7 linked regions of the Danio rerio genome follow. The protein of the gene in region 6 purifies or fractionates together with the protein of the main gene of each other region. This does not show direct contact. Links are inferred from orthologs where the notes say so. Each region holds a gene or a part of one and is shown on either strand. Other genes may lie near its edges.

The links.
Region 1: the proteins of crk (region 6) and peak1 purify together in Homo sapiens (affinity purification with mass spectrometry; 4 studies listed by BioGRID and IntAct, with this or other methods). This does not show direct contact. The link is inferred for Danio rerio from reciprocal best matches to the Homo sapiens genes CRK and PEAK1.
Region 2: the proteins of crk (region 6) and edc4 purify together in Homo sapiens (affinity purification with mass spectrometry; 3 studies listed by BioGRID and IntAct, with this or other methods). This does not show direct contact. The link is inferred for Danio rerio from reciprocal best matches to the Homo sapiens genes CRK and EDC4.
Region 3: the proteins of crk (region 6) and pxna purify together in Homo sapiens (affinity purification with western blotting; 4 studies listed by BioGRID and IntAct, with this or other methods). This does not show direct contact. The link is inferred for Danio rerio from reciprocal best matches to the Homo sapiens genes CRK and PXN.
Region 4: the proteins of crk (region 6) and shc1 purify together in Homo sapiens (affinity purification with western blotting; 3 studies listed by BioGRID and IntAct, with this or other methods). This does not show direct contact. The link is inferred for Danio rerio from reciprocal best matches to the Homo sapiens genes CRK and SHC1.
Region 5: the proteins of crk (region 6) and eps15 purify together in Homo sapiens (affinity purification with mass spectrometry; 3 studies listed by BioGRID and IntAct, with this or other methods). This does not show direct contact. The link is inferred for Danio rerio from reciprocal best matches to the Homo sapiens genes CRK and EPS15.
Region 7: the proteins of crk (region 6) and map4k5 purify together in Homo sapiens (affinity purification with mass spectrometry; 4 studies listed by BioGRID and IntAct, with this or other methods). This does not show direct contact. The link is inferred for Danio rerio from reciprocal best matches to the Homo sapiens genes CRK and MAP4K5.

What each region holds. Positions count from the first base shown.
Region 1 is NC_133200.1:8,122,172-8,126,175, reverse strand, and holds part of peak1 (inactive tyrosine-protein kinase PEAK1), read right to left. Parts: exon of another isoform or gene 2,636-4,004; intron 2,557-2,635; exon of another isoform or gene 1,969-2,556; intron 1,702-1,968; coding exon 1,484-1,701; intron 1-1,483. UniProt on the Homo sapiens protein: Probable catalytically inactive kinase. Scaffolding protein that regulates the cytoskeleton to control cell spreading and migration by modulating focal adhesion dynamics. Acts as a scaffold for mediating EGFR signaling.
Region 2 is NC_133193.1:23,287,449-23,291,452, forward strand, and holds part of edc4 (enhancer of mRNA-decapping protein 4), read right to left. Parts: intron 3,539-4,004; coding exon 3,358-3,538; intron 3,271-3,357; coding exon 3,204-3,270; intron 3,107-3,203; coding exon 3,015-3,106; intron 2,742-3,014; coding exon 2,551-2,741; intron 2,472-2,550; coding exon 2,395-2,471; intron 2,256-2,394; coding exon 2,132-2,255; intron 31-2,131; coding exon 1-30. UniProt on the Homo sapiens protein: In the process of mRNA degradation, seems to play a role in mRNA decapping. Component of a complex containing DCP2 and DCP1A which functions in decapping of ARE-containing mRNAs. Promotes complex formation between DCP1A and DCP2.
Region 3 is NC_133180.1:7,311,900-7,316,377, reverse strand, and holds the start of pxna (paxillin a), read right to left. Parts: upstream 2,965-4,478; 5' UTR 2,909-2,964; coding exon 2,896-2,908; intron 2,783-2,895; exon of another isoform or gene 2,666-2,782; coding exon of another isoform or gene 2,625-2,665; intron 2,398-2,624; coding exon of another isoform or gene 2,291-2,397; intron 1-2,290. UniProt on the Homo sapiens protein: Cytoskeletal protein involved in actin-membrane attachment at sites of cell adhesion to the extracellular matrix (focal adhesion). Recruits other proteins such as TRIM15 to focal adhesion.
Region 4 is NC_133191.1:24,101,529-24,105,532, forward strand, and holds part of shc1 (SHC-transforming protein 1), read right to left. Parts: intron 2,341-4,004; coding exon 2,283-2,340; intron 1,956-2,282; coding exon 1,839-1,955; intron 152-1,838; coding exon 1-151. UniProt on the Homo sapiens protein: Signaling adapter that couples activated growth factor receptors to signaling pathways. Participates in a signaling cascade initiated by activated KIT and KITLG/SCF.
Region 5 is NC_133183.1:18,301,125-18,305,128, forward strand, and holds part of eps15 (epidermal growth factor receptor substrate 15), read right to left. Parts: coding exon 3,962-4,004; intron 3,853-3,961; coding exon 3,723-3,852; intron 2,789-3,722; coding exon 2,604-2,788; intron 1-2,603. UniProt on the Homo sapiens protein: Involved in cell growth regulation. May be involved in the regulation of mitogenic signals and control of cell proliferation. Involved in the internalization of ligand-inducible receptors of the receptor tyrosine kinase (RTK) type, in particular EGFR.
Region 6 is NC_133190.1:27,216,805-27,221,358, forward strand, and holds the start of crk (adapter molecule crk), read left to right. Parts: upstream 1-1,436; 5' UTR 1,437-1,739; coding exon 1,740-1,959; intron 1,960-3,056; coding exon 3,057-3,634; intron 3,635-4,554. UniProt on the Homo sapiens protein: Involved in cell branching and adhesion mediated by BCAR1-CRK-RAPGEF1 signaling and activation of RAP1.
Region 7 is NC_133188.1:40,224,703-40,229,310, forward strand, and holds the start of map4k5 (mitogen-activated protein kinase kinase kinase kinase 5), read right to left. Parts: upstream 2,888-4,608; 5' UTR 2,737-2,887; exon of another isoform or gene 2,710-2,736; intron 2,002-2,709; 5' UTR 1,928-2,001; coding exon 1,820-1,927; intron 1-1,819. UniProt on the Homo sapiens protein: May play a role in the response to environmental stress. Appears to act upstream of the JUN N-terminal pathway.

The sequences.
Region 1 (4,004 bases), on a different chromosome or scaffold from region 6:
GGGTTAAGGTGTAAGGGATGGTCAACAGTGTATTTACAAATGTAATTACAGAAGTTAATTGGTAACACTTTACTATAAGGTTCATTAGTTAATGCATTTACTAACATGAACTAATCATGAACAACACTTGTACAGCATTTATTAATCATAATTGAACATTTACAAATGCATTATTAACATGCTTGTTAACATTAGTTAATGCACCATGAGTTAACATGAACTAACAATGAACTACTGTATTTTCATTAACTAACGTTAACTAACATGAACAAATACAGTAGTAAATGTATTGTTCATTGTTTGTTCATGTTAGTAAATGCATTAATTAACATTAACTAGTGAACCTTATTGTAAAGTGTGACCAGTTAATTACAGATGCATTTACATACAGGTATTTAATCAAGCATAAGTACATAGTAAATACATGCATTTACACAATAATAACATTGTAACAAACTAGTAATTCCTGTGTAAGTACATATTAGTTAAGGCCACTTAATATAAATTGGGACCACTAATCTTATTAAGAAATTATAAAAGAAAACGGCTTATTTTTACATTGTTAACTCCCCAAACACTGGTGACTCATTTATGTGAATGTGTTAAAGAAAGATTGAAAGCATTATTTGATTATTTAACTGCATTTTGTAACTAAAGGAGGGTATTTTCAACTGCAGGGCGCACAAGAAACTAAGAAAGATCCCGACTTCTGCCAGAAAAGAAAAGGCAAACATGTGGATTTTTCTCCAGAGGAAAAAAGGTTAAAAACTAATTTTCCTTCAAACCATTGTCCATTCTTTAACAGGAAAATTTAAGATTTATTTGTTTTACATTTATTGGTTTTGCATTATTTTACATTAAAAACTTAATAATAAAATGTTGTCAATTTTGATTAATTCAGTTTGTTTTTTTTAAATAAAAAAACAGTACAAAAATAACCGATATTTGAACCGTTAAAGTACCGAACCAATAAGTGGTATCGATAAAAGTAGTAATATCGTTAAAACCTTAACGATACCCATGCCCAACCATCACATCATATCAGTTACCAGCCTTAATATAAATATTTTTCCACCATGACATACAAGAGTTGCAATTTAATTTTGCTGCGAGCAAGTCTACATAAACCATCCAGTGCAACAAATCTTACAAATAAACCCAACAATAACTTAAAAAGGGAGCAAAGCAATTCAGTGACAACCATACCTCACTTCACGGCACAACTTCAGGGCGACTCAATCAACTAAATGACTTCAAATTGAAAGATAGAGAGAACAGATCTTATTTATGGGTCTAGAAATGCTCTCGCGCACACTGCTGCCATGACAACCCAAATTTATCAGCGTGAGCCAGCCAAATCAGGTCAGAACCTTACAATGCACACACAAATAAATGGACAGAGTGTATAAAGTGAACCATCAAATGTGTGTGTGTGTGTGTGTGTGTGTGTGTGTGTGTGTGTGTGTGAGAGTGTTTGCCTTACCCAGGTTGGTGTACGTGGCCCTGCAGCTGTTGGACTCAGGAGAGCGTGAGATGGTGTGAGCGATTCCCTCTTCCTCTGGATCTGCCTGCCTGCTGCTGTTTGAGGTGGGCGACGCAGGGGGCGGACAGGACGCGGGCGGCTCGCGCAGGGGCGACAGCTCCAGCTTAGCAGGAAGAGATGTGGCAGAGGAGATCTCAGTCTCCTGAACTGGAAGTTGACTGCACAAACAAGAAATAAAACAATTGTTTGAGAATTCTTGCTCAAACCAAAAGCAAAAACTATACTGAACACATGATAACAGTGCTTTATATAAGCATGTACTGTAGTTCTGTTGACTGCAGCTTTAAATGCTCTGTAAAGCTCTTTAAAGAGAGCTACATTCTGATTGGTTGTCAATGTTTTTATCATTCATTGGAGGGGGAAAATCATTCTGACAGGGATTCCCACTGTTATCATAATAGCTGTAGTGTGGTGTTCTTCAGTTGTTTTTTTTTTTTTTAATATATTTTGATTCTTGGGGTGAAAAATCTTTTATTCCAGCTCAAAGATGCCAATAAACCAGTAGGATTTAGTATTTAAAAAGCTAAATTTAGAACTTCAGTCATTTTAAAGGGGAAGCTGTTTACTGACTTTATATATGTTTTTAGGCTTTAATTTATAGGCTTTCAAGTTTTCTTTCGAAATCACGTAATTATTGTGATATGATATGTGATAAACAAACTAAAATATTAGTCAGTGTTAAATTTCCATTTCTCAAATTAAAGTTTTCAATACATAATTTCTACAAGACTGCACATATAGATGACTCCTATACTAGTTTTATGGCATTTTACACCATTTTTTAAGCTTAAAAGCTTAAGTTACATGTCTACTTTTGTGTCCACTAATGAAATGAATGCCACGTGACTCATCTTTTTTAGTCCTGCTACTGCCAGGTTTTATTCCGCACTTGATCGCTCTCACCGTATATTCAGCCTTTGTTCACCCGCTACTCATTTTCTTTAGTCCCGCTACCGCCAGGTTTTATTCCGCACTTGACTGTTCGCGTCGTATATTCAGCCTTTGTTCACCCGCTACTCATTCTTTTAGTCCCGCTCCCGCCAGGTTTTATTCCGCACCCGACTGATCCCGCCGTATATTGTCTTTGTTTACCCGCTACTCATTATTTTAGTTCCACTACAGCCAGGTTATATTCTGCACCCGACCGCTGGCGCCGTATATTCAGCCTTTGTTCACCCGCTACTCATTCTTTTAGTCCCGCTCCCTTAAGGTTTTATTCTGCAACCGACCGATCTTGCCGTATATTGTCTTTGTTTACCCGCTACTCATTTTTTTTAGTTCCACTACAGCCAGGTTATATTCTGCACCCGACCGCTCGCGCCGTATATTCAGCCTTTGTTCACCCGCTACTCATTTTCTTTAGTCCCGCTACCGCCAGGTTTTATTCCGCACCTGACCGCTGCCACAGTATATTCAGCCTTTGTTCACCCGCTACTCATTTTCTTTAGTCGCCCTCCCTCCAGGTTTTATTCCGCACTTGACCGCTCCCACAGTATATTCAGCCTTTGTTCACCCACTACTCATTTTTTTTGTCCCGCTACCGCCAGGTTTTTTCCGCACTTGACCGTTCCCGCCGTACATTCAGCCTTTTTTTGTTCACCCGCTACTCATTCTTTTAGTCCCGCTCCCGCCAGGTTTTATTCCGCACTTGACTGTTCGCGTCGTATATTTAGCCTTTTGTTCACCCGCTACTCATTTTTTAGTCCCGGTCCCGCCAGGTTTTATTCCACACCCGACCGATCCCGCAGTATATTCAGCCTTTGTTCACTTGCTGCCCGCTTGAAATAATTTTTCTACCTGACCCAACCGTTCCCGCTAAATTTAGATCTGGTTTCAAAAATTTCACGTTTAAATTGGGTACTACTAAAAGTGAGAGATAACATAAAACGGTTGTGCAAGGTGGTTGTGCAAGGATTGTAGGCTAAATGTCAGTTTTGTTTGCCCCTTTGCGATGAGACATGAGTGCCGCCTGAGATTCCAGTCTTCCAAAAAAAACATAATTTTTTTCCAATTGCCTCATATAACGCATGAAAAAGACTCCCATACATAAGACTTGCCGAATGTGGGCTTCTTAAAAGTAAATGACCATTTTCTAATGCAAGCTAAATCATTTTGCTCTTCCATGGTAAAGTCCGCACTTAGGACCATTATGCAGATGATACGTGCACAGACAAAAAAAAAAAAAAAAAGGTTTTGAGTGTCTAATGGTGCTCAATAAAAATGAGGAAAACACAGATATGCTGTTCCAGAAATAACATTGGGACTCAGAAACGCTACATTGTTAGCTACCACGTTTTATTCTGAAATGTATTCCTGCGCCGCAAGAAATCTGGATCGGGTCCTGAGCCTGTACCTCTACCAAAAGCATACTTCAACTTTGGATCAACATTAGAGAGAGTAAATAATGAGATGAACAATGACTTATAAACAGTAACTGTGTGAGAGAGTGCTTTAGTTTTTT
Region 2 (4,004 bases), on a different chromosome or scaffold from region 6:
TGAAGAAAGAACCAGTGGGGGAGCGAAAGCCTAACCAGATTGGGATTTTAAATGGAAAAGTGGAGATAGAGGGATGCCAGATAAACAGAAGAATTGGTAAATGATTTGGAATCAAATTTGAAGGATTGACAGTTTATATTGTGAGTGAGGAAGTCTGATCAGCTTCTCTGACTATTCCATAAAAAAACCAGATCAAATTTACAACATTCATTAAATGTCACATATATTCAGCGATTATATATGTATATTATTATTAATTTAATTACAACAACAAAAAGACATCATCAGCAATAAATAATACATAAGCTAAAAATCTAAAACAGTTTAGGTTTACTTTTGGTAAAAAAAGTTAGCCTTTCTGAAGGATTCACATTTAAAAATATTTCTTTAAAATCTTTACAGATAAAAATTGTAAAAAATAGGGCATAATAAAAATGTGTTTAACAGTTAGGTTTCTGTTGCTCCTTTTAGTAAATGTTCAGTAAATATAATATTATTATTCAATGGTACACTTGGACAACACTTGCTTATGAAATAACAAAGCTCTTATTTAAAAGTAAAAACATTACTAAACATGCCACTTTTTTGTAACAACAATAAACTCTATTATCACTAACTGAATTAAAGGGATAATTCAAGCAATCTTTTGTATTTAAGTTTACTCAGCCTCTACTGGCACTAAATGCAGATTAAGATTTTTTTTCCTGTGAAACACAACAAAAAATATTTTAAAGAAAGCTGGAAATCAAACCCAAAGGTTTTGGTAAATGGTGAGCCACCTTTTCCTTTTGAGTGAACTATAAATCGAATGCATCCTTGATTAATAACGACATACATTTCAAAAACCATACCCAAACTTTTATAAAGTACTGTGTTGGTACTACAGGGAGTGTGTAAAGTAGTGGTTCTTAACCCTGTTCCTGGAGATCTACCTTTCTGCAGAGTTTAGCTCAGGGGTGTCCAAACTTTTTGGGCCGAGGGCCAGATGCAAAAAAACAAACGTTGTCGCGGGCCAAATTTTACATACATCACACAGACACGCATATATATATATATATATATATATATATATATATATATATATATATATATATATATATATATATATATATATATATATATATATATATATATATATATATATATATATACAGTTGAAGTCAGAATTGTTAGCCCCCCTAAATTATTAGCCCCCATTTATTTTGTCCCCAATTTCTGTTTAACGGAGAGATTTTTTTCCACACATTTCTAAACATATTAGTTTTAGTAACTCATTTCTAATAACTGATTTATTTTATCTTTGCCATGATGACAGTAAATAATATTTGACTAGATATTTTTAAGACACTTTTATACAGCTTAAAGTGACATTTAAAGGCTTAACTAGGTTAATAAAGTTAACTAGTCAAGTTAAGGTATTAGGCAAGTTATTTTATAACAATGGTTTGTTCTGAAGACTTAAGGGGCTAATAATTTTGACCTTAAAATGGTTCATAAAAAATTTAAACCGCTTTTTATTCTAGTCGAAATAAAACAAAAGTCTTTCTCCAAAAGAAAAAATATTATCAGACATACTGTAAAAATGTCCTTGCTCTGTTAAACATCATTTGGGAAATATTTAAAAAAGAAGAAATAAATCAAAGAGGGGCTAATAATTCAGACTTCAACTGTGTGTAGATAGACAGACAGACAGACAGACAGATAGATAGATAGATAGATAGATCATAACAAGAACTACTGCTTAATTGAATGCATGTAATAGCGACACCCGGTGGTTATTTATTGAATTACGTTCATTTTTGTATAGCGGGCCAGATTCTATTATTATTTATAAAAAGCCTCGCGGGCCACCACAAAACTGATTGCGGGCCGCAGATGGCCCGCGGGCCGTAGTTTGGACACGCCTGGTTTAGCTGCAACCCTGATTAAATGCACCTCTCTTTATTTACCAAATGCTCCTTTAAATCCTACTTAGTTAACTTAGTTGTGTGACCAGGCTTGAAGCGGAACTCTGCAGAAAAGTAGATCTCACCACCTGGTGTAAAGCAACATCTTTCTTACACTGAAACAAAGATAAGACCTACTGAGGCACGCTATATTGCAACATTGAGAATGACATTTCCATTGGTACCTGGATGTTTTCCCCAAGGCCTGAGATGAGGATGGAGTTGGATCTTGGACTGCCTGCATTGGCGAAACTGCTGTTGACACATTCAACAGACATTTTAGGGCTCTGAGTCAGATCATCTCCACCTCTAAAAGAAAAAAAAATATTGCATTTTGATTGCAGGAGATGACAAACGGTATGACATTTTTTGCACATTGTGAAGTTAATATGAGATTTAAAAGGTTTAATCAAGTTTTACTATGAAAACATTTAGTTAAATACACCACCTTGCACCGCTGTCTGAGCTGCTCATGGCCGTGACAATGGTCAGACTGCTAGCACTGCTGCCAGGAGAAGCGGGCATCTGAAAAAACAAGAACCATGATGAATGTATTCATCACTGAAGGAACCTAAAGGATGACGCTAAGATAGTAAAAGCTTACAGAGGCGCTGGGTGTCATGAAGGCATCCGGGGTCATGAGTTTGGGCAAGGCTGATGGGGCTGGACTCATGAAGTCAGCGGGACTTGGAAGAGGCAGAATCTTACTCAGGTCATTTTGTGAACCACTATCGCCAGACTCCTTGTCAGAGCTCATTGCCTCCACATTCAGATCAGCCAGCGGGTCAGAAAAACCTGGAAAATTTAAAAACAAAACAAACATTAAAAATACATACATAACCAATAACATGAAAATACTCCTAAATACTTTTTTTGCGGTATTAAAATGTGCAATATATTAAAGTTTAACATTAAAAGTATTTATTAATTAAATTATTTAAGTGTGAAAAAAAAATTCAAAAATTCAAACCACAACCGCAGGTAAAAATATTTTTCGTCATATCCCTTTAGATTCTGCATTGGCAATCTAGGGAACATAAATATAAACATATAAAACTTCATACTCACTGAACCCATCCTGTGATCCAGACTGAGGCATGAAGAGTGAAGAGGAGTCCCCCTGATTGGGCTGAAACCAGATCTGCACATCCTGTAGTGATCTGTGTCATAAGAAGGTTATAACAACATATTAAACGCTACACATTTAAAATTCAAACTTCATGTCAGTAGAGTTGTTGTTAGATAAGAAATTCTCACTTTGTATGCACACAGTAGAGTTTAATCTGAATTCCTGATCTGGACTCAGAGGTTCCCTGGTTTCCTTCTGTGAGAAGATATTAAACCACACAAGAATCATTTGAATGACTCACTTGAACATGAAGCTAACATGAAAACAAAGAGAAAAACCGACCTGCTGTCATGCTTTCGCTTTCTTCTTCAGGAGGAAGGACCTCAGTATGGCGCAGGCGAGCACGAGAAACATCCTGAACACCGAAGCTGAGCACAGGGTGTGTGAGCAGAAACTCTGAGACTGCAGTGAAACTGGCACGGCCTTTCTCTTGATCCTGCAGCAGCTCCATGACATACAATACCTTCATATCAAACACAAACACACACACCTGAATCAACTGCTGAGAAACCACCAGTGCTTACTTTAAAAACAACCTTGGCCTAAACTCAAAAATCCTATTTAAAAAGCCAAACGCTGCATCTGGCAAACTGTCCATGCCTTTAATTTGCTGTTATACTGCATGCATGACTTTCTATCAAAATACTAGCAACATTTCTGAAATTCCCAAAACATAAGACAGACCTGCTGTAGAAATCTAAATAAGAAAACCTACAATTCACTGCTTTGTCATTTTGATGTAGTCCTTTTGTCTAAAAAAATTATGCATTTTCTTTTTTGAAGGCCTGTTTTCGTAACCTTTTTACATTATAACACATAACCTATAACACATTAACAGAGTAAAGACTATATACAGAGAATGTAATCTGCACAAAAATTACTATTAGTTCATTTAAATTAACTTAAAGGCTATAAAACAACAAAAAAGA
Region 3 (4,478 bases), on a different chromosome or scaffold from region 6:
CACTCATATCCTATGGCCAATTTTGTTTACTACTCTAAAATATAACAGTGTAATCTGGTTGAAGTATGGTGTTAGCCAGTTTGCTGCTTCTCAGCCACGTGCAGCATAGGAAACCATGACAAAACGCACACCTGGAATTGATTTTCTCTGGAGTTTTTTTATATTTATGAGTGGATTTCTTCATTCATGTGCTGTCTATTCATGGGACAAAGCATCATATGTGATTTAGCTCTAGCATGTTATATTAGTTCTGTGCACTACATGGCAGACTGTTGAATATATTCTTAGATCAAAATAATACATTTTACCATGATTTACAGAACACATACTAAAATGTAATTCAGTGTAAGAACATTTATATGGAGACAGATTAGACTCAATACTATTTCACGCAAAAGACACGATGTACACATGCGTAGCCAAATTCACGTGCATAAAACCAAATTCACGTGCGTAAAATGTTTATTTATATTCACAAAAAAAAAATTCACGTGCTCAAAATAAAAATACATTTTCATAAAATACGTTTCACAAATGCAAAACACCATTTGCAAATGTATAAGAACCTAACGTGCTGACCACTGGACCACAATGGCGCTGCTGTAATCATGTGGCCGGAATGATGCTTATCATTACCCTGCAGGATACGTCTTGCTCATGCGGCTACGAGACAATACATAAGAAGAGCGGAGCTGCGATAAAATGGATTAAAAGAGTGAGGATATGGTCAAATAAATTAATAAATTCAAAAAAAAGTGCGACTGCTGCTTTCTCCCTTCGCCATGCTGGAGAGGAACAGTCTGCGCAAAAGAAGCGTAGAGTTGGTTTCATTGAATACAGCTCTCATCTGATTGGCTGAAAGGTACGAGTAGTCCTGACTCTGGCAGGAAAGTCTCAAAAATACACACACACGTATCCAGGGGGAGTCGTACGTGAAAGAGGATTTGCACATTCTCATTCAGGATGAACTCACATGTTTTAAACATTCAAAACTTTTTGCACACTCTTATAAATTTGCAAATGGTGTTTTGCATTTGTGAAACATATTTTATGAAAACTTATTTTTATTTTGTGCACGTGAATTTTTTTTGTGAATATGAATAAATATTTTACGCACGTGAATTTGGCTACGCATGTGTACATCGTGTCTTTTGCGTGAATTTCTTTTGAGACTTATCTGATTCCATACATTTACAGCATATAAACCCAAATATCTAGTCAGGCATATTTAGGAAAAGACTCATTTGATGACATAATACAATCCCCATCCCTACTCATTAACATGTTTGACCAAATCCTAATACTTAGCGAGCATTTCTAGCAGGTTTTCGTCATTAATATGCATTAATACTGGTCATTATGGTGACACTTGGAGGGACTATTTTTTCTGAGGTGGTACTTGGTGAAAAAAGTTGAAGAATCACTGGTCTTCTACATTTTTTATACTGCAAATGTCCCATGCGTAACAATAGAATTGCTGTACTGTGATTTTTGGCATTACATAAGAAAGTCCTGGTGAATTTCTGATCTTGGTCCCACATTAACGTCTAAACAAATGCCTGGTCGTCACAGATAAACGAAAATAACTTTACTAAACAGCGCGTCACTCTTAACCCAGCAGCCTCAAGGCACTAATATTGAGATTAGTTAGATTAGGCAGTGCGGCTCATTTTCTCGTCGCCCCAGGCAACAAGTCAACAAGCCACAACATCAAAAGCTGTAGATAACGGGATTGACTACCTAACAGTAAGACAGTACTAGTTAAATGCTAACAACGACTGGTGTTGACACAGAAAGGCATTGGAAACCATGTTTACTGAGCATTTCACAAAAGACATGAAAACAAAAGCACAATATAAGACTAAAAGCTAGGTTTATGGAGGGATAATTCACGCAGAAATGAAAAATGTGTCATCGTTTACTCATTTCTTCCCTCTAATAAACTCAAAATAAGATATTTTGAAGAGAGCTGGACGCCTGTAACCATTGACGTTCATTGTATTCGTCTTTCCTACTATGAAAGTCAACGGTTAATTTCAGCATTCTTCAAAATATCTTCCTAAAAGAAGAAAGAAACTCATAAAAAGATTTTGAACCACTTGATGGTGAGAAAACTGTACATGTTCAACTTTAAGTTTCAGCAGATAGTAAGTGAACTTTGGAGGACGGCTGTGAATTGACACTTCACTGTTTTGTTGACACATTTCAGAAGTTACAAGCAGACAGGAACTATATACAAGCATATTAACTAGCATCAACTTCTGTATTTAGGGGTAAATATAGAGCTTACTGTGAGTTTGCGCTGGTGAGGATCTGATATTAATCACGTATCTTCGTGTTACAAGAGCAGCTGTGAAGAGCATTGAGGTAAAGTTGGTTTTATATTTGCTCATTCTCCTTAAAAATATGAATCCAGAAAAGTATTATTAGCAAAATCTCAATCATATTAGCAGCCAATGAGTATCAAAGCACAATAGTGTTCACACACAGTTAATGTAATGGTGCTAATGTTGTTTTGAAGTCATAAGTTACTTAAATGCGATTTCAGATTGAGTGCCCAAAGTAGCTTCACAAGTTTTCACTGTTAAAAAAACGAACGAATACGTGAATAACACCAACTTCACCTCAATGTGAACAATGAATCAGGCTGACTCCGACAACCCATTGAGAAGCTACAGAAAACAGAGTAAAATACGCGAATAAACCCAGGTTTAAACCGCAGCAGAGAGTATGTTTTTCAGCGTGTTGCTGCAGTCAAGCATCGGCGCGCGATGACGTTGGCAACAGGAGCGCGCTCCATCCGCGTCTTCAGCCACATTTTAGCGCTCTAGCGTCGCGTCAAACTTCCCATTTCACAATTTTCCGATGTCAAAGGTTAAAGGAGATCACGCTTACCTAAATCGTCCATGTTTCGCGGTCGTTCTGGGTCGATAACGGGAGCAGGAGCCCGCGATTTACCGCTCGACTCTGTTTCGTGGCTCGTCTGTGCTCCGCAATTGCACGCGGAGAAGTTTTCAACAAGTGCACGCGCAGCGCGAGCACGTGAGGAGTCGGACACGCGCCCGCGTACTGGCCTGTTGACCATTAGCAAACTATTAAAAAAATAAAAAATTAAAGTAAAATAAATTAAAACCGTACATGTTGAATGAACACATAATAACAATTTCATTAAAATATATACTTGGTGTTCGTAGCTAAACAATTATGTAGGACGATAAATTTCTGTAAAAACAAAAAATGCTAATAATAAATAAATAAATGTATAATCCATACATTCCTGCAAAAATAAATAATTAATAGCGCGGGCAGGTAAATGTTTAACAAAACTACAAGAATGTTAGGGGAATAAGAAGATGCTAAACTGAAAGTTAGAATGCAGGAATTCACGGCTTTATTTACTCATTTATTTATATATTTGCATATTTCATTTGTGCAAGAATTTATTAATTTATTTACTCATTTATATATTTGTGTATTTATTAATAATTTTTGCAGGTTTCGTCCTCCATAAATAATACTTTTATTTATGTAAAAATGTATTTAAAATAATACATATGTTCATTTCCTATATAATATAATTAATTTACTGAGTAATATAACTTAACTTAATTTACAAATATTCCTAATGGATGATAATATTTAATTTAATAGTAAAGAAATAGTCAAACAGTAAATAACATTATTTGTGTGTGTGTGTGTGTGTGTGTGTGTGTGTGTACATATATGTTACAGTTATATATATATATATATATATATATATATATATATATATATATATATATATATATATATATATATATATATATATATATATACACAACAACATATTATATCAATAAAATATCTCTTTTTATAAATATTACATATAACTTTTTATTAAATAATACATATAAATATAATATGATTTTATTGATTTTTATATGATTTATATGATTTTTATTTCAAAATATATTGTGTAACAAATTACAAAAAATAACAAAGGACGCTGATATTTAATTAAAAAAATCTAACTTTAAATGTTAATAAAATGATGGCTATATGCAATCATAATTGTTTGTGTAAGCACAAATTAATAAATAAAAAAGATGATGTTAATTGATTTAATGATAAAATGTATATTAATATTTTAGGCCCACTATAATAATACATATAATAACCTACAAAACATACATAATGTATTATAAAAGGTATACATGTTGCATTTTACTTTTATCAATATTTTTATAATTAAAACATATATAGCATATATATTATTTCATTAATTAATATGAAGTACTAATGAAAGTCAAAAAGATTTAAACAAAAATAAATAATAAATAAATAAAAATAACACTGAAGTGGGTTTGTCCATAATTTTTTAAAATATGAATAAATATATTGTAAATGTGTGTGTGTGTGTGTGTGTGTGTGTGTGTGTGTGTGTGTGTGTGTGTGTGTGTGTGTGTGTGTGTATTTCCTTCTCTTTCCCATGTGTGAAT
Region 4 (4,004 bases), on a different chromosome or scaffold from region 6:
GACTCCCGCACCAGGAAGTCTCCATCCTTGGTCAGGAGTCTTTCGGCCTGCCTGCGGCTCAGAGGCCCGTGAAACCAGGGCTCGTTCTGCAGCTGCTCTGCCAGAGGAAGTGCCACTGCACCCGACACAACGAGCGCTGCATCAAACGGTTCTGAAGAAAGAAAGCAGAGCATCACTGGATGGTTGGAGCATTTTTACTCTGTGAATCTACATCTGCAGTATTACTGAACTAATTTACTAAGTATAGTAAACCAAAGTATTGTTTTCAAAATAGGAAAAAACACAGCATACTACCCTGCTTTACCACATTCAATTGTAAATAAGCTATCATCAAGCGTAAAATTTATTAGGTCCATACTTTATTCATTAAATTATGCTTTATGGTTTTTATTGAATGTTTGGTTTTGTAAAATGATAGAAACCTGTACAAAAATGTGGGGTCAATACGATAAAAAACAAACAAAACAGACAATGAAGATTTTTTCATTGTTACAAAGAATTTGTCAAATTTGTTTCACAAGTTTTTGTCTGCTTGTTTTTTTTAGTATAACATGGCTTCAACAAATTAATACTGTTACTAGCAGCAGGGGGCACTCAACCCTAATGCCCCTGTGAAGTTAAGGGGACACTATACTTTTATGCTGTGTTCACACCAGACATGGAAGAAGCATCAAGTGGGAATGATTTACATGTTAAGTCAAGGCAAAGGCGTGAATAGACATCCTGCACCGTGATATGCATGAATGGCATGGTGCGAAGCAAATGACTCAATACATGTGAATGGCACGGCGCAAATTGAATGTTTTGCGCGTTTGACTCGCTTTTCGCATGAATCATTCAAGTTCAAAAATCTAAACTTCAGCGGACATTCGTGCCGCGTTTACCAATCAGGAGCTTGCTCTTGTGTGGACGTGATTATGACGTAGCGCCTGTTGTTGGTGTCCCGGGGGAAAATTCCCTGTCTACACCAACAACAGTTCATCAACTGGGCTTGGCTCAGTCAGAAGCACCGCTAAATGCTTCCATCATCTAGTTTAAGTTTCTAGAGGAGTTTATGAGCTCACAGAGCTGGGTGCACCTCTGAAAGGATCTAGTGAACTGCTCCAAACGTATCAACGCTGTTTTTCAGCCTTCATAAAGCACATAAACACTGTTATTTTCTCAATAAAATCTATGTTAGACATTTAGCAATGAAGCTACAGTCACCGGGCAGACAGAAGCCCTGCCCACCACGTGAATTAGCGTCTGTTCTGAAGTGATTTTCAAGCGGATGAATCAGATTTGACGCGCTAATGAATCGGATTTGATGCGCGAATTAAGCAGGGTTTGATGCGTGAAAGAAGCGATTTTGACGCACGAAAACAGCAAGTAAACTCAAATGTTCATGCGTCTATTTACACGCGAATAGCACAATATATCCACGCTTTCCTCGTCTGGTGTGAACACAGTGAAGTGAGCGCTGTCTTTGGGATGAGACGTTAAACTGAAGTCCTCACTCTCTGAGGTCATTAAAAATCTCATGGCACTTCTCGTTTTTATATATATATATATATATATATATATATATATATATATATATATATATATATATATATCCTATATAGACATATATATGTCCTGCTGAATAAAAAATGTATGTATACAATTATGTTTGGCTTTTAACACATTATTTAAAATATGTGGCTAAGAAATAGCCAATAACTTTTTTTTTTTTGGTGGAGCCAGTGAAAATTTTGGCAGGGCAAGTAAAAATCTGAACCACTGACCTGATCGGGAACCCTGCACAATAAATAAATCATTAAAATATTACAAAAAGTCACCAAGCATCCATCACTCACTCATGTCAAACGCGTCTCTATGAGCATTTCCATTGGCTGCTGCTGATGCTGGGAGGCGGGGTTTATCCACATTAACGTATGAGGGGTCGTCAAACAAGCCTCCATCCTTAACACCCACTAAAGAAAAAAAGAACACAAAAGAAAAACAAAGGTGAAGTTAAAGTGAGTTAACCTTCAGGTGAGTGCACTTAAGCGGTGCCGTTCTATTGTCAGCAATGCCGCTGATCCAGAAGGCACCTCTCAAAGGAGCTGTGTAATAGATTTGGGCAGCGTCCAACAAAGAGCAACGAACAGTAGCAGAAAAAGCGCTGACTCACTCTGCACAATGACAGTCTCGGCCGACAGGGGAATTAAAGCAGGAGAAGTGTGACTATATGACAGACAAATACTGTGTGGCAGCATGAAATGACTAGGACAGGGATTATTGTTGTGTGTAAATCTGACCTGGTAGTGGAGGAAGAGGCTGCTTGTGAATGTCGTTCTGGCTCGGCTGTCCATAGGGCTGTGGAGATACAGTGCAGTGGGATGGTGACATATTTATTCAGTGTGGGTGTTTCATGAATGAACAAAGCAATTTAATTCATTTTTATACACTGAATCATGCTTCTTGTACCCTGAAGTCTCTCTTTGGAAGCCAAAGTTTAAGTAAGTTGAGTTTTAGTTTCTAGTTTGGGAATAATTTGGGGCATTTTTAGACTTTTAAGAGCCATCAACACTGATTTCAGTATGTTCAAACAACAAATGAACATATTTTTACTAATATTTGATTTAATTAAACTCGGTACACCTTGAATATATGGCTGTAATATGCTAAATTTAATTTCCTAAATCTATTATTTTGATAATGTTTAATGTATTAAGACAGTAATACAACAAGATTACATTTATAAACTGTTGAATGTATGTATGTTCTATCCTCTGGGTCTTAAAGGGATAGTTCAACCAAGACAAAATTATGTCATCCTTTACTCATTATTCACATGTCCCAAACCTCTTTCTTTCTTCTGTTGAACACAAAAGAAATATATTTTGAAAAATGTTGAAAACCTGCTACCATTGATTTCCATAGTATTTGCTTTTTCTACTATGGAAGTCAATAGTTACAAGTTATTAATATTTTTCAAAATATCTTCTTTTGTACTCAAATAAATGCCTGAAACGACTTGAGGGTGAGGTAATACACTGAATAAAATATTCATTGACTTTACTTATACAATTTTTTTTAAGGTAAGTGGTTGCAAACAATTCATTTGGTCTGAATTTTAACAAACAAATAAAATAATCAAATTAAACATTACTACATTCAATTTGTTTGTTTAAATTCAACCCATATAAATAGTTTGCAACAATATTTTTTTCTCTGTGTATTTTATTAAAATGTACAATTTTAGGACGGCAGAATAGCCTAGTGGTTAGTGTGTCGACATATGGTGCTGTAGCATGTCAGGTCGTCCCGAGTTCGAATCCCAGCTTAAGGACATTTCCCTACCAAAAAGAGTAAAGCAGTGGCGCAGTAGGTAGTGCTGTCACCTCACAGCAAGAAAGTCGCTGGTTCGAGCCTCGGCTGGGTCAGTTGACGTTTCTGTGTGGAGTTTGCATGTTCCCCCACAGTCCAAAGACATGCGGTACAGGTGAATTGGATAGGCTAAATTGTCCATAGAGTATGAGTATGTATGGATGTTTCCCAGAGATGGGTTGCAGCTGAAAGAACATTAGCTGCCTAAAACATGTGCTGGATAAGTTGGCTGTTCATTCTGCTGTGGCGACCCCAGAATAATAAAGGGACTAAGCTGAAAAGAAAATTAATGAATGAATGTACAATTTTGGTTGAACAATCCCTTTAACAAGGTCATTGATTGTGATTTCTTTTTAGTAACACTTTAGTTTAGGTTAATTAGCTAGCTAGCTAGTTTGTTAGTTAGTTAGTTACTGGCGAAACGTTTCCTTCAATGTGCAAAAGGAGGCCAACAAATAAGAACACACTGGACCAGCAAAGCAATCATAAGACGTTGAGGATGACATTTTAATAGAACCACAAAGAGGTTAAATGTGTAAAAATCAATTCGATATTTTTAAAACAAATAAACACAATCAAGCCTTTGAGAATTGCAGATTAACCACCATTTTCATACCAGAAAGACAAAAATGATCAAACATGTTAATGCC
Region 5 (4,004 bases), on a different chromosome or scaffold from region 6:
TTCAAACTATCTTGTGAAACTGTACTCGTGTCGCAATATTAATTGTAGAAAAACAAAATATCACAATATCAGTTTTCCAATATCGTGCAACCCTAATTCAAAGGAGGAATTTTGTACTTTTTTTGTTTTATCATTAAAACTATACCTAAATCTATTTTTAAATAATATGTAACTATATTTTAACCAAAATATGGTTTTCTTTTTATTTCTTTTTTTGTTATATACAGTTGAAGACAGTTGAATTATTAGTTATTAAAAATATTATATTTTATTATAATAAAAAACTCTACCAAGTAATTTATACTGGAATGATTTTTCTAACCTTTTAAATACAAAACCATTTAATAACTAACTTTTAATAACTAACTTTTGTCTTTGCTTTGATGGCATAACTTAGTATTTTTCTAGCTATTTTATGCTTGTATTCATCTTAAAGTGCATTTTAAAGGGAATATATAACCATATATACATACATACATACATGTGTGTGTATGTATATACAGTTAAAGTCAGAATTATTAGCCCCCCTTTGACTTTTTTTTTCTTTTGAAAATATTTCCCAAATGATGTTTAACAGAGGATAGAAATTTTCACGGTATGTCTGATAATATTTTTTCTTCTTGAGAAAGTCTTATTTGTTTTATTTTGGCTAGAATAAAAGCATATTTAAATATTTTGAAAACCATTTTTAAGGTAAAAATTATTAGCGCCTTTAAGATATATTTTGTTTCGATAGTCTACAGAACAAATCATCATCATATAATAACTTGCCTAATTACCCTAAGCTGCCTAGTAAACCTAATTAACCTAGTTAAGCTTTTAAATGTCACTTTGAGTTGTATAGAAATTTCTTGAAGAGTATCTAGTCAAATATTATTTACTGTCATCAGGGCAAAGATAAAATAAATCAGTTATTAGAAATGAATTATTAAAACTATTATGATAGAACTGTGTTGAAAAAAATCTTCCCTCCGTTAAACAGAAATTGGGGGAAAAATAAACAGGGGGGCTAATAATTCTAACTTCAACTGTATATGTATATAAAATCCAGTTGAAATTGAAGTAATAACAACCCTAATAACTGATTTATTTTATCTTTGTCATGATGACAGTAAATAATACTTTACTAGATATTTTTCAAGACACTTCTATACAGCTTAAAGTGACATTTAAAGGCTTAATTAGTTTTAATAGGCAGGTTAGTGTAATTAGGCAAGTTACTGTATACCGGTGGTTTGTTCTGTAGACTACCGAAAAAATATAACTTAAAAGAGAATTATCTACTGTAGAACTGAGCGTTCAAAAAAACCTGTCTCAAGTATAATGATGACATACAAAAAATCCCACAAAGATCAACATGCAAGAACTGTTACATTTAGAAACATAAAAGGAAAAATTACTAATGTGCTACAGCTACTGACACAGAAGGATGAGAGATACAAGATGTGTGCCATGATGCAATCCATAGAGCTTCACAGCTAACATCAGCTCATAAGCCTGCAGACACATGAGACTTGACGTAAAATAAAAAGTAATTTAACACCAATTTAAGAAATATGCTTAATGATTACTCATTTCATTGCTGATGTTTTAGTCTGATGTTTTATTCGTCTGATGCACTCATATGTCTAGGCCTGGATTGCTCATACGGCCCATCATGAACATGCAGGTATTTCACACAGAAGTAAAGGTGTAGACAACAATGGATCGAGAGAGTAATCACTACAGTTAGCTGGAAAGCACTTCAACACAAATCATGAAAACAAAAAGAAGTCATCTCTCTCTTGAAGTCTCTTCATTAGCAAAGAGTTGCGCCTTCATAAGGCTTAATTTATTGGATGCATCAACGTATAAAGAGAGCTCACATGGATAAGTTTTAATTTAAAAAATAATAATAATAATACAGAAAGGAGCCAACAAGTGCTGTTATAAGCTTAGCTGATTATTGAATTTGGCATATATAAAAACAAAACATACTGTATGTCTTCTAAAAATAAAAAAAGGTGGTGCATGAATGATGGGATGCAGATGGAACCAAGAACCAATGTGTGGGAAGTAGCAGCCCAACAGAACAAGTGGACACAGTGATTAGTTCGTGCAGTGCAAGGCAAGGCAAATCAGTGAATAAAAGTACGACAGGGCAATAAACGTGCAAGCCTCAACCAATGGTGGAGAACATGACAAAAGAGCACAGGGGGATGAATTGAAAACAGCCAATAGCAAGCAGCCCCACCTCTCCTTCCACAGCCAGTGAGAACTTATATGCGTGATGTTAGGAATACTGCGAAGTCATAACAATAGTAGGTTTAAATAACACTGGGGTTTTGTTTTAGTAGAAGCGTTAGCCTTGATTCAGTTTCGCTATTGGATAAATATTTTCATTACAAGCTCATATGTATTTACAAAAAATAAAATAAAAAACAGGAACAGTGACAGTTTTGTGGCTTTCACATAAAGCAAGAGTCGTCAAAATATTGGACGAGGAGCCTTCCGGGAAAACAAACGGGCTATGAGGGGTCGAGAGGTCAAGGCTGCTGCATTGCGCAGGTGAAATGTCAGGGTCACTACTGGGGGTCAGGAGAGGGAGAGGGGGAGGAGCTCACTTTGTCAAAGCTGGCGAATCGGTTGGGGTCGCACGGGGCTTGGTGGGGTGAGGAAGGGGCGAAGGGGTCTGGTACCGAGTCTTTAGCGGGAAGGGAGGAGAACTCTGCTGATCCCTGGGCCTTGAACAGACCGCGGCGGTGAAATGACTCGGACGACTCCGATCGGTGGATGTTGGACCGCTTACCTTTAACACATACACATAGAGACAACACAGCACTCAAATACAGGTGACGTTATGGAGCCTTGTGGTCCATTATTTTCTGAACTGAGCAATTAAGTCAATCTGGAATCTGGTTTGTTCAGATTAGACATGCACCAATCAACTGGCAAAAAATCAAATGAAGGAATTGGGTTTTTTTTGTATTTGTTTTTAGTTTTTTTTAGAAACTTTTGATCGACAACCTGCTGATTTGCGCTTTAAATAAGCCAGTCTCTGTTATGACTTGCATAAAATCGGCACTGCAATGATTTTAATGTTACAAGCCAAGCACATTAACATTAACAAACTGAACAAATATTTTCTTTGCAATACTTGATACTGCAATACTTAAATGACTGTGTGATGTTTTTAACATTTAATTAAATGCTGTACTAATATGACGTGTTTGGACGGTTTCTATCACAACTCATATTTAGGTGATTATTTGAGGCTTGATATGTTGAAAACAATGATAAGGATGTTTATTATTTTCATTTGTAAATACCTCTAAAAAGGCTATAGTAAACATCTATTTTTAATGTACTATGGGCAATACCTATTCCACCAACAGGCAGAATGAATTTACTGTTATTATGCATTTCTACTGTTCCTTATACATTTATGTTTTTAAGTAAAATCATTTCACAAAGCTAAAGTAAAATAGTATAATTTTACTTGCAATGCAATAAATTGAAAGTAAACAAATATATTTACAAAAAAACTAATATATATATATATTATATATAAGGAATAAAATGAGGATTTGGAGGAAAAAAAATGTAATAAAAATGAATAATGTAATAATTTGCATCAGAAAATTTGTTTGCAAAAGAAAAAAAAGATAAAAAAGAAAGAAATGGTCAACCCGAATCAGCCATGAAATAAAGGTCAGTGCATCAATAGATAAAATCCATTTTACCTGGGGGTGGAGGTGGAGGTCTGGTTGGGGTTCCTGTTTTGGGTGGTAATGCTGGCGGTACATCTGACTGGGTGTCCTCCTTGAATAAATTCTTGTTTGTACTGGAGTCAAATGGATCATTGCCATTAGACTGAAAGGCAAAATAAAAAGTTCAGTGGCTGCAGTCGGGTCCATTTAAATCATATGGTTGGCAACTCAGCTGAAATACTGGACTTCTGTTTTACGTTCAAGATCCTTACCTTTGCTAAGCTGCTGAAGTCTGCAAAACCTCCGCCAAAAGTC
Region 6 (4,554 bases):
AGACATTTTAAAATTAGATTTGTCTTAATTAATTACCCATTATTTTGAATTCACTTAAGTGAAAATACTATAGTGCGTTAACATCATCATAATAGCTTATAGCAGTAGTCTCAAACTCAATTCTGGAGGGCCACAGCTCTGCATAGTTTAGCTTTATCCACCTCCAACTCACACCTGCTTCATAGTCACTGGTAGTCTTGAACACCTTGATTGGTTGAATCAGCTGTGTTTGATTAGGGTTGGAGCAAAACTATGCAGAGTGGTGGCCATCCAGGATTCCAGTTTGAGAACTATGGCTTATATGATCAGTGTTTTTCTAAGCTCCATCTTCAAATTACGGTTTATTAGCCTACATGAATGGTTTAGTAGCCTTTGTAAAGGTGACCAATATGTTTCAATTTATCATGTCATTTCATGGTCAACAGGTAGCCTCAAAATCTCCTGCTGTGTTTCAAAGCCATATCTTTTAGTCAAGTTGTGCCATTACGGAATATATATCGATAAAAGTGCACTGAAGAGCTGTGAACAATGACTTGGTCAGTATTTCTGTACTCCCACAATGATTAATGAACCAAGGGAAATGCAAGGAATGACAAACCGGAACAGCAATATGTGTATGATTATTTGTAAACAAATAAAAATGTATTTGACTGTTGTTGGTATCAAAACCAATAAACCTTTAACAAATATACACTTCATTTATGCGTTACGCGACGAATAATGTTGGTCGTCAATATGTTTGATTAGACCATTTGAGAGCTGAATTGTAACTGGGTGAGACTGGTAGAAAGACTACAAACTATTAGTAATCGATGTCGACATCTAGTGGTTGCTAATTTTGTGGACTCGCTTGTAAAGGACAGTGTTTACGCACTTCCGTTTTTTTTTTTTTTTGTAATAATTTACAGCACTTTCGACCTTTAAATAAATTAGCGAATATGGTTGATGAAAATCATATTTAACTTATGTTTTAAAGGGATGTCTAATTTGTTAAATTTAGTAGACTAACTGTTAGACCACTTACACTATGTTTGTTTGCTCAGGTAATTTCGGGGTCAGCCCGCTTGGACTGGTTAACAACCTGTTTGGACCAGCCACTTGAACCTCTCACTAGAATTTAACAAAACTGTTATGTTTAGCGGAATTTGGGTTAATACAAAGATTAATGCGATGCAAATTGATCAGTATAACTAATGTAAATTCAGAAGTTATAATTGTGTTCATATGAACAATTCCGAAATACGATTACATAAATTAAAAATAAAAAAAACGGTTGGTGTTAAAAAAAGATTGAAACTCCATAATGATACAAGATAAGGCCTTACTTTCAATATTGACCGCACCAATATGACCACCAACAGACACCATCCGCGTCGGCGGCTATTGCATCACTTCCGGGAAATAAGGTCAAAAATTGTTTCCCTTGTCCGCCATTTGAAATATTTGAACTTCCTTGTGACAACTTCCAATGTACGTTTTGGTTTACACTGGACAATTATCAGAAGTTCTGGGTGAATAGCCGCGGTTTTTGCGTCCCATGCACGTTGGAATACCGACGTCAATTGTTTTGTTAATCGATTGGGCCAAAAAGCGTTGAAAAGTGTGCGAATGCTGCGCGTATTCGAAACGTGTTCAACAACGGAACGCGGTAAAGTTTTTGCATGAGTTGAACGCTGCTTGCGGATAAGGAGAGGCGAAGGGAAGGCCTGTGAAGCCTGGGCTTTTTTCTAGCGCTAGTCATGGCCGGAAATTTTGATTCGGAGGACCGAGGGAGCTGGTATTGGGGGAGATTAAGCCGGCAAGAGGCGGTTTCGCTGCTCCAAGGGCAGAGGCATGGAGTGTTCCTGGTGCGGGACTCGATCACTATTCCCGGGGACTACGTGCTGTCTGTGTCGGAGAACTCCAAAGTCTCTCATTACATAATAAACAGCATCAGCAGCAATCGCCAGTCAGGACCAGGTAAGCGTTTGAACAAATGTATTTAAATACTATTAACGACAGGACGGATAAATACTGCTTTAGCAAAGCGCTTAGCAGCTCGATGAAACTTCTATACTACGAATAGTTGTGCATATTCAGTCTAAAATCTCGCGTCATTCTGGGGTGCTGTGTAACCAGGGGTTCGGTCTTGTACACTACGGGCCCCAAATATCATTCTCGGGTGTAAAATGATTTGTATGCTTTCGTGTATGATGCCAGATTTGTTATGTGAAAATTGTATACAAATTCGTTTTATAATATAATATAGGAAACGTTTAGTTGCAATATGTGTCATTATTTAACATAGTTGTTCAATTGTTCACACGTTAGCAGATTCTTTGAAGTATCTTTATTTTATCTACTTACATTTTGCTTCGTTTGAATCGTGTCTTATAATTTTGTGTTCTTGGTTTGTTTATTTGTTTGTTTATATTAATTTGTGCATATTTATCTTGACTAAATGCTCGTTTATTTCAGTTTCACCCTTATTTTAAAACCGCTGCTTCATTACATTCTTACTCCGACATACATGTCTCACCTTATCAACTTTTTATATAACAAATACAATCTTATTAGTTATGTGTCTGTCATTCATTTGAATTACACGCATTATTATAGGTCATGTCAATCACTTATAACATAAACTCACTTTTTTTGTTTGCAGAAATGATCAGCAATATTTAATTTCCAATCTTTTTTGCTGCTTTTCCCATAGGTTGAACCCATAAAATGTTACATTGTTATACTATGTAGTTTTTGCAACACTTATCAGATTTTCATGGATTAGAGAGAGTTCAGTTTAAATGTACACCCCGATAAAAGTTCTAAACCTATATTAGTTTCTCTTTTCTGTTGAACACAAAAGAAGATATTTTGAAGAATGTTGTAATTAAGTAGCCATTTACACCTCCATATTAGAAATAAAATGCCTACCAAATTCCTATGTTCAGTAACTTTTTTTCGTGTTAACATTATGATGAGTAATTGTGAAAAAATTGAATTTTTTGCTGAGCTACCCCTTTAAATTTAAGCAGATCTTGATTATCCATCCATCATCTCATAATGTCATCCCGCAGGGCTTGCTCCTCCTCGGTTCCGGATTGGAGATCAGGAATTTGATGCCTTACCTGCCCTGTTGGAGTTCTACAAAATCCACTACCTGGACACCACCACTCTCATTGAGCCCATTAGCAAATCCAAGCACTCGTCTTTCATCAGCGTCAATGCGGGGACAGGAGGAGCTCCTCCGAGGCTAGAAGAGGAGTACGTCAGAGCTCTCTTCGACTTTCCCGGCAACGACGACGAGGACCTTCCATTTCGAAAGGGTGATGTTCTTCGAGTGCTGGAGAAGCCAGAGGAGCAATGGTGGAATGCTCAGAATTCAGAAGGCCGTGTTGGCATGATCCCTGTGCCCTATGTGGAGAAGTACCGACCTGCCTCACCGACATCAGGTGCACCTGGCGTATCAGTCAGTGGGTCCGGTGCTCACGGCAACTCTGACGGCCACAGCACTCAGTCTCCACCTCTGCTTGGTGAACCGGGCCAATACGCCCAGCCCACATCCTTACCCAATCTACAGAATGGCCCAGTTTATGCCAGGGCGATTCAGAAGAGAGTCCCCAATGCCTATGATAAGACAGCTCTTGCTTTGGAGGTAACAAATGTAAACTTTTCTGAGATATTAATAAATATAAAAATGAAAATATTGCATCATTTATGAACCTTCAAGTTATTCTAGATGTATCCAGTAGTCAGCATTTGAAGTGGATCAAAACCTTCCATCTTAAGTTGTACTAAAATAGTCCTATTTAACAACATCCATTCTTGCCATGATTGTCAGAACTTTATTTGATCTACTTTAAATGTGGACTACTATATGTCCTATTCCTGACAAACACTAATGTGACTTAGCTTTGAATTGCAAGTAAATGTACACAATGTTTGCTTCAAAAAAGCACATTAATGTGTTATAAGTCATTCATACTGCTCAGTGGGTTATTTAATATTTTCTGAAGCAAAGTGTTAAGTTTTTGAAAGAAAAAAAATGCTTATTTAAAAGATTATAAGCTCATATAAACTGGAGCTGCACAATTATTTAAACACAATGTTCATGCACGTCGTTTTGTGAGTAAAAGCCAGCTCTGTGGTCAGTAGTATATCTCCAGCTTTCAAATGGAGCACCATTTACTAGTTACTCATAGTTCATGATCTGTTTGGTAAATGCAGCTACATCTAAAATCAAATAAAGATACCACATTTAACATGTTTTAACTTCCAATTTGTCTTTGAGATAATGTGGCTATTTCTGTTCAATAACTTTGTGTTCACACCAAAGGCGCAAGAGCATCAGAGTTCTCTCTGGCTTTCACAGTTCCAGCGGCGAGAGCGTCAAAAATCGATACATTAACCCCGTATTTAAAGGAGCCGTTGCAGCATATCAGCAAATTAGTTACGTTCCCACATAAAAATGTGTATTTTAGTAAGAAAATGTTGCGCAGCTTTTTAGTAAATTCATTTAACTACAGAAGATCCAGTTGTTGTATGTGCAGTGGCTTTCCTCCACTTATCCAATAT
Region 7 (4,608 bases), on a different chromosome or scaffold from region 6:
AGAATGGCATTAATGCGTCCTGAAGTAAAGTGAAACAGCTATTAACTCCAGCAATATAAAGTCATTGTATGCAGAGCCATATACCTTTATAAAGTTTATTTTTATTTTTTATTATAAAGTATAATTATGGAAACTGTTCATCTTAACTGAAAGCTACGTCATGTTTGCTGGCCTCACACATCAGTCAGTCAGTCAGCATGTAACCTTAAAGGGTTAAACGGATAACACACAGCACTACTACGGTTACAGAAAAGTTTGTGCTGTTATAATTCCTTTCCTTTTAATAAGTTTTGGTGCAATTATAACCCGCTATTAAAAAAAACAACAACAACAACTGAATGTTTTAAATGAGCCAGCCATGGAGAAATAAATGTATAGTGTATAGTGGAAACCATGTATGTATTTTTATATAGTCAATACGGATGCCCTTATCTATTGGCCGGAGACTAGTATCGGGCGATAATGACATGTAATGACTCGATTGGTACTTGCTAATCTGGCCGATCTCATGAACCGATTGCGTTTGTTCCGTAGTGTTTGTGTTAGTTGGAGATGAGCAAAATATTTGAATGACCTTGTATGTATTTAGGCCTTTTTACATATAAGAACAGAAGATTCTGTGTTTTAGACAATATTGCAAGATTACTTTACTTACTGCAATAAACAGTAGCTTATAGGCCTATTTCCTTTTAGTAGTGAAGTAATCAATTTATAGGTGTGCATTTTAACTTCTTATGCATCAAATATGCGCTCCAGACTTTTTCCTGATTGAGACATGTGGTTTCCAAATTGCTTTGTTAGTCATTTTTCTTACTATTTTTAATCTGTGCTATCAAATGTTTTCTGTAAAGCTACTTTTGGCTATGACATGACATTTTGGCCTAAATGGTTACAAGAGACATGTTTAAGGTATTATATGCAGCATCCTTAATTTATTTTCTTAGGTAAGGAGAGATCTCCACTTAAGTATCATACTTAGAGGGAAAGTGTGCTTTATACATTATAAAGCTTGAAGGATCAGAATTGGTACTCTGTATCGGCTGTTCACCCTGACAAGGAATCGGTACTCAGTATTGGCTGCAAAAATCCTGATCGGAGCATCCCTATTAGTCAACATTTGATGTATATCAAATCCTTTCATCAAAGTTGTCCTGGTAATATTCTATAAGGCCCAGAGTTTATTTAGGACATTTTTGAAAAACTTTTTGATACCCTTTAAAGTAGGGCTGCACGATATCTGAAAAATCTGATATTGCCATATTTACATTTTCTGTGATAAACATTGCAATATGCATACAGTTTCAACAGATAGTTTGAATAGCTCAATTTGATAGTTTTTTGGGGGAGTCTAACAGTATTCAGGTACAGAAATTTAATCAAAAAATGCTTTTCTTACTTTGTCCTGTTTCTAGTCCAAGAGCAAGTAAATATATTTAGTTTTTACTATCAGAAAAAATGTGAAATTTAAGTTTTTCCCTAAAAAAATTAAAACTATACCAGTGGAGTAAGTAAAATAATCTTGTTTTCACTTTGAAATGTAGATAAATGGACTAGAACCAGACAAAAATTCTAAGTAAGAAAAAAATCATAGAAATTTGCTTATATATACAGTGCTTAGATACAATTCTGAAGCTCATGGTCAGATTCAACATTGCATATCTTTGCGATGGGACTATTACAGATGCACTCATCGCGGTGTTGAGGCTGAAACGACATACTGTGCAGCCCTACTTCAAATGTTGACACTATATATGCAAGCATGTATGCATGTATATATTGCTGCTAAAGTGGAGATGAGGGTCTGAAACTGTTCAGTTACCTTATACACGTCTCCATATGTTCCACTGCCAACTCTCTGGATCAGCTCAAAGTCATGCTGTGGGTTTCTGCGCTGAATCTCCCCTCCGGACCGGGCCAGCGGATCCATGCTGTCGGACTGGAGGATTTACTACTTTAATGACCCAGATTCAGTTTTACAACAGACCTGTAGTCCACATTGTCCTGAAAAGAAAAAAAAAAACAGAACATCATGTGATTAATAACAGCACACTTTATTAAGTCAGACCAGACAGACTGAAGATCTGATAGACAGACAAGGCGTTTCGATTGACATTTCATCCTAGGTGTGATATTGCAGAGGCTAAACATGGACAAATCAATCAATCAATCAATTAATAAGTAAATAAAAGACTTTTAAATGAAAGTTTTTAAACTGTCTAATATATATTCGATCATTAATGCTGGTATTAATGGGTTTAGTTTTAATGTGTGCATATTTATTTCAATAGAACTTATTTTAAGTAACAGGAAAATGTTGAGATGTTTTTTATTGTCACGACAAAACTATTGACGGATGTCAAGAAGTGCCAACTGTCAGAAAAGTGTGTTATGTTAAAACAAACTTTCTCTTTTTTAGTAAAATGGACAACTTAACTTACTGAAAGTTCATTTTCTCTCTGAATCTCCGTGTGAGAGGCTAACTCAGCTAACTTCTGCTAACTAATCTCACATAATCACTTAACCTTTAAACTACATTTTACAGACAAAATATACAAGAACAAAGACGTTCAAAAAGCACAATCCATCTTTACGTTACTTTTGGTCCATTCGGTTTGCGGGTACTTTTAATTGTGATTTGCTTAAGTTCATCCGATGCTAACGCTAATGCTATAAACAGCGTCAAACTGCAACACGACATAAATCACTTACATTCAAAAACTTTGAGGTAAACTTCACCATTTGTGCGATTAATCTTTGTCTTCTGAACTCGAGAAGATATAGACGGTTTCCTAACTGCTGGAGTTCATTATGCGTCGAAATAATCATCCAAACAGGAACAGAGACAAGAGCAAACTTCAGCCAGATCAGAACCCGCACACACACACACACACGCAGACAGACAGCAAGACACACATTCGCACACACGTACAGAAAACACACACACACATGCACACTCATACGCACGTCCACTGAAAGAAATTAAACAAATCTGATGTTTAAAAGAATGTTAAAGCATTACAGAAAAATCTCTTTCGCTTTAATTCACTCTGTTTCATGGTGCATTATTTGCCTGGGATATAATAGTGATATTGTACTGATGTATTAGTTGCCTTAAGCTTACTAGACAATAGTTACTGTCAGTAGTTATAGTGCAAAACAAATAATGACAAATAAATATACCAATGTTATCTGTGCGTTTTTATTATATTTTTAATGTTTATTCATTTTATTTTAATTTAAAGTTTAAACCAGAGCATGAAAACCGCAGGTAAACCTAAACTTTTTTTTAGTAAATTAAAACACATGGCCCTTCTTTAACTTTTGCTTTATTTAACTTTTAAACATTTTCCCTATTTTTATTTGTATATTTATTTATTTATTTGTTTATTCATTTATTTTACAACATACCTGTAGCGCCATCTGCTGGATATTCTTAGAGACATACAGTTCAAGTCAGAATTTTTAGCCCCCATGAATTATTAGTCCCCGTTAATTTTTTTCTCAATTTCTGTTAGAGATTTTTTTAACACATTTTTAAAAATAATAGTTTTAATAACTCATTTCTAATAACTGATTTTTTTAATATCTTTGCCATGATGCCAGTAAATAATATTTTACTAGATATTTTTCAGGACACTTCTATACAGCTTAAAGGCTTTACTAGGTTAATTAGGTTAACTAGGCAGGTTAGGGTAATTAGGTAAGTTATTGTATAATGATGGTTTGTTCTGTAGGCTATCGAAAAAAAATACAGCTTAAAGGGGGTAATAATTTTGACCCTAAAATGATGTTCAAAAAATTAAAAACTGCTTTTATTCTAGCCGAAATAAAACTATTTAAAAAAATACTTTGTCCAGAAGAAAAAAAATATTATCAGACATACTGTGAAAATTTTCTTGCTCTGTAAAACATCATTTAGGAAATAGTAAAAATAAAACACATCTTTCTCTGCACACACTAACTTTACCAAAACACTGGAAATATGACTTGATATGAAATGATTCTGTAAAAGAATAACACTTGTTTTCACTTCACAAGGTACATGCAGTTAATCAAAGTTCACAGGGTTTCAAAACACTGGCTATTGTTGACATTACATAAACTGTAGAGACTTTTATGTTTCAGTTATGACAGTAAGTTTCTTGGCTGGGAATCATATGTGCTTGTACAATAATGTTCACAATCAAAAGCATTCAGGTAAAAAAGCAAATATTTTTTTCCTTAACTGTTTACTACAGGAGGTACACACACTCTCAGAAATAAAGGTACGTGAGCTGTCACTGGGGTGGTACCTTTTCAAAAGGTACAAACGTGTACCTAAACGGTCCATGTTCATATCTCAAAGGTACATGTGTTCCTCTTAAATTTTTTAGGTACTAATATATACTTTTGAGGTACCAATATGAACCCTTTAAGTACAATTGTGTACCTGTTGAAAATGTACCACCCCAGTGACAGCTCGAGTACCTTTATTTCAGAAAGTGTAGAAACACGGTAATAGAACAGAAAAGGTTTTACAATATTGCTTACAGTGAACTCAATATTTATGAAACACACAAGAGCATTCTGAACAAAAAACAAAACTAAAAAACAACAACAAAAAGCCCA